Zea mays: one gene and its partners. Each later gene encodes a partner of the first gene's protein in a complex. Links are inferred from orthologs where the notes say so. Each region holds a gene or a part of one and is shown in the gene's direction. Other genes may lie near its edges.

Region 1 (2,668 bases):
GGGTTCTGTGATTAATCGTTATTACTTCGATTCGTTAGAACAGCTTCCATTGAGTCTCTGCACCTATCCTTTTCCTTTGGGTTCTAGTTTGAGAACCACTTGTTTTTCAAAAAAGGGATTTGGCTCAGGATTGCCCATTTTTCATTCCAGGGTTTCTCTGAATTTGGAAGTTACCACTTAGCAGGTTTCCATACCAAGGCTCAATACAATCAAGTCCGTAGCGTCTACCGATTTCGCCATATCCCCATTTTACTTTTCTTTGAAACCAGGATTCCTTGTATAATTTAATCCATCTCTTAGTTTTTTTTGAATCATTGAATTCATTATTCGACGTAGTCTAGCAACTCATCTCTATTTGAGACACCCCGCTCGCTTATTGCAATTCAGAATTGCATTGATTTTATCGTTGATATATTTGCAATTCAATCGGAATGAATATATCCAAAAGTTTTTCTCTCTCCCGCCTCCCTCCTTCCTTTTTTAGAGTATTCCAAATCATACTATAACGCTTGATATTCATTCTTTTTTTCTAAACTGAATTAGAAATTTCATTTGCTATGATTCTATCTTCTCCTTAGTGAACTATTTATCCTTAAATTATTAACAAATAAAAAAACAAAATATCTCAAAAATGTATATAATGATCAAATGAAAATGCCAATCTCTTGGCATTTTCTCTTTATTATATTATTCATATATATTCTTCTTTTTCTTCTTTTCTATGTATTAGATTATTCCTCCGAGCCATATCAAATTGAAAATATCTGAAATCAAATTCAATATAGAATTTGGAATAGATTCTATTAAAAAAATCCATTTGCGAATTAGAGAAATAAAAAGAAAGTTCAATAAATTCTATAATCCTATTTAAGAATATCATTTAGTTAAGCATATCAAGCTAACTTTATCTTTATGAAATTCTAGTATTTTTTTTTTTCTATCTAAGTGGAACTTCCAATTTAGAACTAGTTAATAACTAAGATTAATAATTAAGATCTGACATTTTACAGATTCCCTATATATATATTTTTATTTGTTACACTATTTCTGTTATGTAAGCCCACTTAGCTCAGAGGTTAGAGCATCGCATTTGTAATGCGAGGGTCATCGGTTCAAATCCGATAGTCGGCTTTTTTTTCTATCGATGTTCTATGAACAAGAATTTCTCTTTTTCTCCGAATAAAATGGGGAATCAGGGTCTATTATGTCGTTTTACCTTACAATTTTGCTAGATACAAAGCATAAAAATAAATAATATATATACAAAAAATCCAGATGTTGATGAAATTCCATTTTTTGTGTTACTCCATTTTTTGTGTTACTTTAGTAGATTTTACTCTGTTTATCCTTTAGTTTAATTCTGTTTGAATTTCGCTGTATTCTGTAATGTAAATAGAACGAAATTTATTGTGTAAAATGAAATTTCAATAAAATAAAAAAGGAGTCTTCATGTCCCGTTATCGAGGGCCTCGTTTAAAAAAAATACGCCGTCTGGGAGCTTTACCAGGACTCACTAGAAAAACGCCTAAATCCGGAAGTAATCAGAAAAAGAAATTCCATTCTGGGAAAAAAGAGCAATATCGTATTCGTCTTCAAGAAAAACAGAAATTGCGTTTTCATTATGGTCTGACAGAACGACAATTACTTAGATATGTACATATCGCTGGAAAAGCAAAAAGATCCACAGGTCAGGTTTTACTACAATTACTTGAAATGCGTTTGGATAATATCCTTTTTCGATTGGGTATGGCTTCAACCATTCCTGGGGCCCGACAATTAGTTAACCATAGACATATTTTAGTTAATGGTCGTATAGTTGATATACCAAGCTTTCGTTGCAAACCCCGAGATATTATTACTACGAAGGATAACCAACGATCAAAACGTTTGGTTCAAAATTATATTGCTTCATCCGATCCGGGCAAATTACCAAAGCATTTGACGGTTGACACATTGCAATATAAAGGACTAGTAAAAAAAATTCTAGATAGGAAGTGGGTCGGTCTCAAAATAAATGAGTTGTTAGTTGTAGAATATTATTCTCGCCAGACTTGAACTTAACGAAAAAAGGAAAGGTTCATAGAATTTTTTTCCCCTTCCCCTTTCCCCGAACTAAATCGACCTAAGGCTCTTAATTCGTATTTTCCCGTTCACCTAGCAGAAATAGATTAACCCTAGGATACTTTTTTCTTTTTTGTTATTTCCTCGATGTGTATTTTACATACCACAGTAATTTGCTATAGAGAATTTCTATTAATTAAAGGTATTATTGTTGGAATAAATTGTTATTTAATTTGATACATTGTGATCGCTAACATTGATGAATTAAGAGAAACGGAAAGAGAGGGATTCGAACCCTCGGTAAACAAAAGTCTACATAGCAGTTCCAATGCTACGCCTTGAACCGCTCGGCCATCTCTCCTACATAATCTTATTATGGAAAATAAACTGAGTGAATAGCGAGTTTTCGTATTCCTGCAGTACAGGTACAGCCACAACGGCTCGGGAATTCCATGGCTCTATTGGATTGGATGGAAAAATTCCTTTTCATCTAAGTGGAAGGATCCTGTATTTTTTTACTAGGAATTCTGCTCCCTCGAAAAGTTTTTCTTTGGGGAAAACCAAAATAAAAAGAGAATGGAAGAATTCTTCTTATTCCATAAGAAAA
Region 2 (4,111 bases), on another chromosome or scaffold:
AGCGATAAGAGGGATCATCCCCAACTGTTTTAATGACCCCATCCTGTACTGTTCCAAGCAACACCAATGCTGAACGCTGTAACCTGGATGTTCCGTGACTGCAGGTACACAAGGTCCCAGTCATGCCCGTTCTGCCGCGGGAGCCTGAAGAGGGTCCGGTCCAGAGACCTGTGGGTGCTCACCGGCGACGACGACGTGATCGACACGGTGACGCTGGAGAAGGAGAACGTGAAGCACTTCCTCAGCTTCATCGACAGCCTGCCCCTGATCGTCCCCGACAACATGCTGCTGGTCTACTACGACTACCTAGTCTAGCAAGGCTCCTCCCCCCACCCCCCACTCTGAAGCTCTGGAAGAGGAAGGGGGTCTGGGAAGAAGACGCGGCGTACAAGCGACAAGGGTTACCCGCAGCCGACCATCCTCTGCGGATCGAGTTGGCAAAGCGAAGCCGTTGCCGACCAACAGACGATACTCTCGTGGGCATGCCACGCCGTTGCGCTGGCTTTATTGCATGGTGGCGTTGCTCGCTGTAATGGTTGTAAATAAAGAAGGAAAATGTCTCGGGTTTTATATATAATATACTAGCTTGACATTTCTCGTCTGGCGAATTGCCGGACTGTTCAGAATGAAGAAATCAGGGGGCCTCTACTTCTCTGCTCTATATATATCGTCTTCAATTCTCGTGGCCACCTGCACCATTCATAATCGTGAGCGTTGTTGAGGATTCATCCGTTCCTCTCCTTCTAGAGGTTCCAGAAGAAAGAAGACACATGTGGTCAGGTCATGCCATCGAACCGTCTCCACTCCGTGCAAGGCACTTTGCTTGAGGCGTTCTCCCACCACTACATTTTGGCCATCGGTTTTTTATTCATGATTGGGCACTGAAACTGAAACTCTGCTCGGTTGACATGAACCTGATAGCGACCGTTCAATCTGTGCTGTACAGTAGTGCACAGGTGAGTGCCTGACAGTGACCTTGGCAACTCCTCCATTCGGTATTTCGGTTGCTGAAATGAATTGGAATCGCTCCAGCCACACGCTCCCAAATACTACTAACTCCAGCTCCAGGACCGAAAATTGCCTGCACGGGGGTGGGGGACAGCTCGGGGCCGCTCCTTGACGCTCACCCTACCCTCAGGGTTTGTTGATGCACAAGCCATGAGCTCATCCAGTCCGGAAAGCTGGCACCTTGCACGGGTGGTGCCGTGAGGCCGGCCACCATGGGTTCAAGTGTCTGCCTCCACCAGTCCACCGCCGAAATCGAGATTCGAGAAGGACCAGAACCCTAACTCAGCAGGAGAAGCACGGGCCGGAGAACGACGCTGGAGCATCTAGGGTTTTGTTTTCTGTTAGCATGAATCAAAGCTAAGCTTTGGTCATCTTAATTATATTAATTATCAAAAAAAAGAAAGAGAAAGAAAAGGATCCAAGACCTGACCAGACTCGACGACGGCCTGGCTAGGTGTGTGCACCATACTTTACAGTAATGGCCGATAAGGTTACTTCTGGCCCAGCCCACACCAGCCCTGCAGCCCATCTTAGATGTGCGCTGTGGCTCCAACTGCGAGCCCTTTTATCCCTTATCCAACCTGATCCACCACACCACCATTCCCGAGCACACTAGTCTCTCTTCCCTGCGCTTGCTCGCTCCTTCTTGCCCCCATGGCGCTGCTCGCCGTCCAGGGCATGGCCATGTCCACCGCCGCCGCGGCCCTCCCATCTCACAACCACGGCGCCGTCTCATCCTACGTCTCCACCTCCTCCTACGCGCTCGCAGCCTCCGCCGCCTTCCCCCGCGCCCGGGCTGCGTTCGCCGTCGGCGCCGTCTTGTCGGCCACCGTCACTCCAGTTCTTGACGGTAATTAAACAGCTACCTCCTCACTCCCCTTGTTTTTGTCCGATGTAGGAGTAGTTTCTTTCTAACACATGTCACGAGCAATGGCTACTGTTTTCCACGCAATAAGGGAGAAAAGGCAATGACTACTATTACACTGACACTTGGGAAATTCGTTCCAATTCAATCGGGATTTTTCTTCTTTTTATGAAATAGTCAAGGGATTTATTACTGAAATGTACTCCCCAGAAGAGATGGAGGTTGTGATGCTGTTAGTCGATCTGGGTCAACTAGACTGACCAAGGAAAGCATCCAGTTTTTAACAAACTGGTTCATGAAAATTGTGGTGGTTCCAAATATACTAGCTTTTGTCCCAGTCTATAGAAGTTGGATTCTCAGTTTCTTAAAAACCAAGAAGCTAATCCCATCTAGCTAAAGGCAGTTTATAGAAATTGAGGTGGTTCTAAAAACTATTAACCAGTTTTTTTATAAATCACTTTATAGAAACTGAAGTTAGAAACTAGATTCTTAAAAACTAGGTTGCTTCCAAACATGGCCTAAGGGTCTGTTTGGAAGCACCTAGTTTTTTTTATAGAAATTGACGTGGTTCCAAACTAATTTATAGAAATTGGATTCCTAGTTTCTTAAAAAACCAAGAAGCTAGTCTTCTCTAGCTAAAATCAATTTATAAAAATTAAGGTGATTCTAAACACCATTAACCTTTTTTTTTATAAACTAGTTTCTAGAAACTGGATTCTTAAGAGCTTAAGTTGTTCCACACGAAAAAATTACGGTATCGAGGAGCAGGAGCATATATATGAACTGAAAACTACTACTGTAGTAGATTATTAAACCTTTACCGGTTGACTGATTCACTTCACACGGTGTCAGGAGTGAGTGCCAATCAAGGAAGCTGAATCTCTTGTTTATCACTACCGCCTATAGTTTTGGTCGTCTCTGTTGCCACTGGCCTCAGCTGTTGTAAACACTTGTTTCTGGTTTATTAATACAGAGAGTCAAAGATGGATGCTTCTCATGCGTGTACTTCAAAGAAGTTTTAGTTAATCATAATTTGAAATCAATTTCTGAAATTCTAGTGTCCATAGCCTGCTTCAGGATTTTATTCTCTGATTGTACTACGAACCCAACTGGGGTGCTGTCCCTTTTGGCCTCTGTTTATATCAATACTGATGATCCTGTGGACTGACAGACAGTTTTAAACTTTATCTGGTCTTGCTCAGTCTACTGCGGGAGAGGGGACAAGAAAACGAAAAGGGGCAAAAGGTTCAACCATTCATATGGCAATGTGAGTGCTCCAGCACAATTTACATCGCATTTTTGGTTTTTTCCCCCTGTTCTGTTTTATTTAGCTGTCTGATCATGTCTAGGCGAGGCCGCGCAACAAGAAGAAGGGAACTGGGCCTGCGCGGCTCTTTGCCCCTCCTGCTCCTCCAAGGAAGGATCAGTTCGATGATGGGGAGATCATTTCAATCGAGATTGACGAGGACATCCTGGAATAGGTTGTCCGAGTTCTGCCTTGCTTTATATTTGCCCTGAGCTTAATTGGCCTAGTTTGTACCAAATCAAATACTACATATTTTAAGTAATTATTTCCTCGCCTATAATTATCGATGGGTAGGCTGCCACACTTTCATTTGGCTAGTAATGTTCCTACTACTGACTGGGTTCTTTATTTTCCTTTCCAGCTGCTGAGTTCTTTACTCTCTTCAAAATGAAACTGTGTCGAAATAAGTTTTTTTTAGAAGATATTAAATGATTCATCTAGTGGTAACGGAGAGATTACACGTTTCATTTGTAAGGGGATTAATAAGATTTAATCTCTTTCAATCCTCTTCTAACCGAACAATCCAGCCCTAACAGGTAAAACAAAATCCAACTAGCGATTTATTCATACGTCAGCAATGTGCAAAGATCTTGCGTGCTGAACTAATGATCGTGTTGTGTTATTAATATGTGTTGCAATGATGTAAGTTTTGTTTCAAACTTCAGCTAACACTTTCAGGTCTCTTGCTATGCCAATCTCTCACGAGTGTCTCAGCAAAATATGATCCAAACAAGTTGCTGTCTCCAACTCAGCATATATGAATTTTTGCCGACTCCAACTCAGCATATAGAATTGTTTTTGCCGATACATAGCCAGAATTACAGCATAGTTGATAGAACAAAAAAAGGGAGCTGCTCGATTCTCCATCGGCAGGACCAACTTACACGAAATTTAACAGCAAAGAGACTAATTAACATACAAATATAAAGATA
Region 3 (3,493 bases), on another chromosome or scaffold:
TGGTAGTGGTCGATAACTTTTCTCAACTCTATCAAACTTATGTTGTTGGAGCTTCCATTGAGAAGCTTCACCAAGAGAGTGGATCTAGCCTTTAGATCCCCCATTTTGGTAAATATAAATTTAGTGGATCTAGATCGTTTGACAAAGTTTTTCAAAAATTTAAATTATTTTTAGTGAATCTCAAATAAACTCATACTGTTGTTTCATTTGATATGGCTCCTTTTAGAAGGGCTCTAGCTCCTTATTTTATTGTCAGTAGAGTACCTTCTATGAAGCTGAAGTTTTTGTAAGTAAAAAAATGGGCTATTTAAATTTGTACCCTTAGTTTTGCTTCATTCCTTATTTTTAACCTTGGTCGTGTTTTTTCTTAGTTTTGCCCTACTACTCTATAACACTAGAAGGACAAAACTAAGTAAAAAAACACGACTAAGGGTAAAAATGAGAACACCAGCAAAACTTGGAGCAAAAGCTTAAAAAATCCAAAAATAAAAGCCATATTTCAGCATCGTGTCTCTTTTATAAAAAATGACTTTGACTTTTTGAGCTCTACAAGGAGTTGTTTTCGGCTATTGGCCCCTTTAAGAAGTCGTGAGAAAGTAGAGTCGAAGTCCTGTCAAATTGACCTACAATAGAATGTCTTCAGACCTTCACACAAAGTTTTTCGGTGTTCAAATTCACTAGATCTTTTATCTTGGTCCTGTTTGTTTCGGATTCTAGCAGCTTCTGGCCACCAAAAGCTGCTGCGGATTGCCAAACGCTCAGCTTTTCAGCCAGCTTCTATAAAATTCGTTGGGACAAAAACCATCCAAAATCAATATAAACACATAATCGGTTAAGTCGTTGTAATAGTATGAATTCATCACTTTCTAGATCCTGAGTCCTATGAACAACTTTATTTTCCTCCACACGTAATCGTAATGATACTCAGATTCTCCCCACAGCCAGATTCTCCTTACAGCCAGATTTTCAGAAAAGCTGGTCAGAAAAAAACTGAACCAAACAGGCCCCTTATATCTCGTATACAGAGAAGATTAGGTCTACTCTATATTTAGTCAATTCAACTGTTCGAGATTTTTTTAAAAAAATATAGGTCCGCTGTTGATATTGTATTTTAGCTGCCTAAATCTTTGGACAGCAAACTTAGATAATCAATTAGTATAATTAAAAGAATAATTTATACTTTTTCTATGGGTAAATAAAGGAAAACATACATGCTGCGTATATGACAACAAAAGAATCATACACATAAAACATAGAAGAAATGCATAACTACATATAGTTGAAATACACACAAAGTTAACGTTGTAAACAATTTTGGTTTAACTGGCAACCCGGCCGTTTTTCCACCAATATGAAAATCCGTGCAAACTCCAAACAGGGCGTGGCGTCCTATCCTTATCTATCGAGTGGACGCGACGCCAACAGCGTCAGCGCCTCCTCCCGCTCTCCGGCTCCTGTCCTGCTCGCGCTCGTCGCCCCCCTGCCGCTCGGCTCCCCTTGGCCCCTCCAATGCCGCCACCCATGGCACTGCTGCCGCTCTCCTCCGCATCCGCGTCCGCCGCGCTGCCGCCCTTCCGCTCCTGCCCGCCCGCTGCGATGCTGCTTCGCCTCCCCTCCCCCGCCCCCTCCCATTTCGCCCGCCCCCGCGCGGTCTCCACTGGGTACGCGGCGTCCTTCTACGGCGGCTCGGCGATGTCCGCGGCCGGCGGCGCGGACGAGGAGGAGGAGGTCGGCTACGAGTCGGGGTTCGGCCCGGGGCTAGGGCTGGGCGGCGGCGGCCTCGGGATGTCGGCCGCGGAAGCCGCGCTGGCGCTGGAGGAGCGCGAGATGCCGCCCTGCCCACCCGGCCTCCGCCAGTACGAGACCATGGTCGTGCTCCGCCCCGACATGTCCGAGGAGGAGCGCCTCGCCTTCATCCAGCGCTACGAGGAGGTAATTTGCGTTTGCCTCCGCTCCGTTTGGCTGCCACTATAGCTAACTGGATGGATGGAGCAGCGTAACACGGGCACGGCTCGATCGGCTCACCTCTGCCTCTTGCATATCTCGCTACCATTTGCTGTTCCGATGGCAGAGAGAGCAGACAGATGATAATTTCTGGACAGGCTGGTATCATACTTGAGCAATGCGAGACGAATGTTAAAAGGGTTCCGAGTGTTTCGAATTTCATCCAATAAATATTAGGATTTCTAAACGTATAAAAGTGGATCCGCCATAGTTAATTGCCATCCTATCCTGAATTCACCATGTATGTTAGGCACTGTTTCTGTTAGAAACTCACTCTAGTCTAGAGCTAATCAGTTTGTTCACATTGAAGTCAGATGCTGCGGCGGTAATATATAGAGACAAGAAACCGTTTCGGATTAAAGACAGGTGAACAGCTTGAATATATAGCAGTAGAGGTTTGAACACCCCCTACCTAATAACTCAGCTAATTTGTGAGTTAACAATCAGTCCATTAGCTGGTTTAACCTAGCTAACAATTTGTTAGTTCCAAACGGGCCCTTAATCGCTGTTATCAGTCACATGCCATCTGCGTACCATTCCAATCCAGCTCAGCTTGGTGTTTTCCTGTGCTGCAGCTGCTCGTCGCCGGCGGCGCCATGTACGTGGAGGTCTTCAACCGCGGTGTCATCCCGCTGGCATACAGCATCAGGAAGAGGAACAGCCGCACCGGGCTGCCGTCCACCTACTACGACGGCATCTACCTCCTCATCACCTACTTCACCAAGCCGGAGTCCATGGACGCCCTGCAGCTTAAGCTCAACGCCGACGACGACGTCATCCGCTCCACCAGCTTCAAGGTCCGCCAGCGGAAGGCCGTCTAGTTAGACGGGTTGCCTCCTCCGCCTTCAGGCCCTGAACACTGTTTTGTTCACATACCATACTACAAGAAATCTGCTGTACAAGAATCCACCTTTGCCATGATTGTTGAGTTTTTTTTTTTTGAATATGTTTCTTGTCTTGTGGTTCTCGAAAATGGACGTCCGGCCATCGTTCGCCAGAGAAACACCGCGCCTCCTAAAACCATCATGTTTCATCAGGTACCAAAAATAAAGGTCCGTAGCTAGGTAGCGTCGAGCCTGAGCGCGCTCCGGGGATGGAGAACAGTCCAAACCCATCGTAAATCTGCAACAGTACAAGCATATACAGTGCAATTTGTGGAAGAGATTCGTACAAGTACAACTTTCATTTGATTTCAGAGGCGTTTAAATACTCCACACTTCATTCCCATTTAGCGTCAAGTGCGTTGGTGTTTCCAAATATTCATTTGATGAAAGAGATGTTCTCGGCATATAACTAAACAGTACGACACTAGGACATGACATGATGCAGAACGCAGATTGGCTTTCGGATTTCTCGAGCAGGAACAGGAAACTTCGGAAGATAAGACACAAAGCACAACACAAACCAGAACAGACGCCAGCAATCCAAAATCTGTCAGCCATGGAGTAACATTTAGTATCTCTCATGGCGCCTGAAATCATAAACAAAT

The links. Proteins that work in one complex are often made in the same cells at the same time.
Region 2: rps4 (region 1) and 30S ribosomal protein S31, chloroplastic-like share a complex: the UniProt entries of both Arabidopsis thaliana proteins name them as parts of the 30S ribosomal subunit. The link is inferred for Zea mays from reciprocal best matches to the Arabidopsis thaliana genes rps4 and PSRP4.
Region 3: rps4 (region 1) and 30S ribosomal protein S6, chloroplastic-like share a complex: the UniProt entries of both Arabidopsis thaliana proteins name them as parts of the 30S ribosomal subunit. The link is inferred for Zea mays from reciprocal best matches to the Arabidopsis thaliana genes rps4 and AT1G64510.

The regions. Positions count from the first base shown.
Region 1 is NC_001666.2:46,544-49,211, reverse strand, and holds rps4 (ribosomal protein S4), read left to right. Parts: upstream 1-1,449; coding exon 1,450-2,055; downstream 2,056-2,668. UniProt on the Arabidopsis thaliana protein: One of the primary rRNA binding proteins, it binds directly to 16S rRNA where it nucleates assembly of the body of the 30S subunit. With S5 and S12 plays an important role in translational accuracy.
Region 2 is NC_050098.1:170,389,910-170,394,020, reverse strand, and holds 30S ribosomal protein S31, chloroplastic-like, read left to right. Parts: upstream 1-1,604; 5' UTR 1,605-1,662; coding exon 1,663-1,858; intron 1,859-3,075; coding exon 3,076-3,140; intron 3,141-3,222; coding exon 3,223-3,354; 3' UTR 3,355-3,567; downstream 3,568-4,111. Other genes in the region: putative RING zinc finger domain superfamily protein, read left to right, coding at 105-315.
Region 3 is NC_050096.1:303,987,643-303,991,135, forward strand, and holds 30S ribosomal protein S6, chloroplastic-like, read left to right. Parts: upstream 1-1,394; 5' UTR 1,395-1,509; coding exon 1,510-1,932; intron 1,933-2,579; coding exon 2,580-2,825; 3' UTR 2,826-2,949; downstream 2,950-3,493. UniProt on the Arabidopsis thaliana protein: Binds together with bS18 to 16S ribosomal RNA.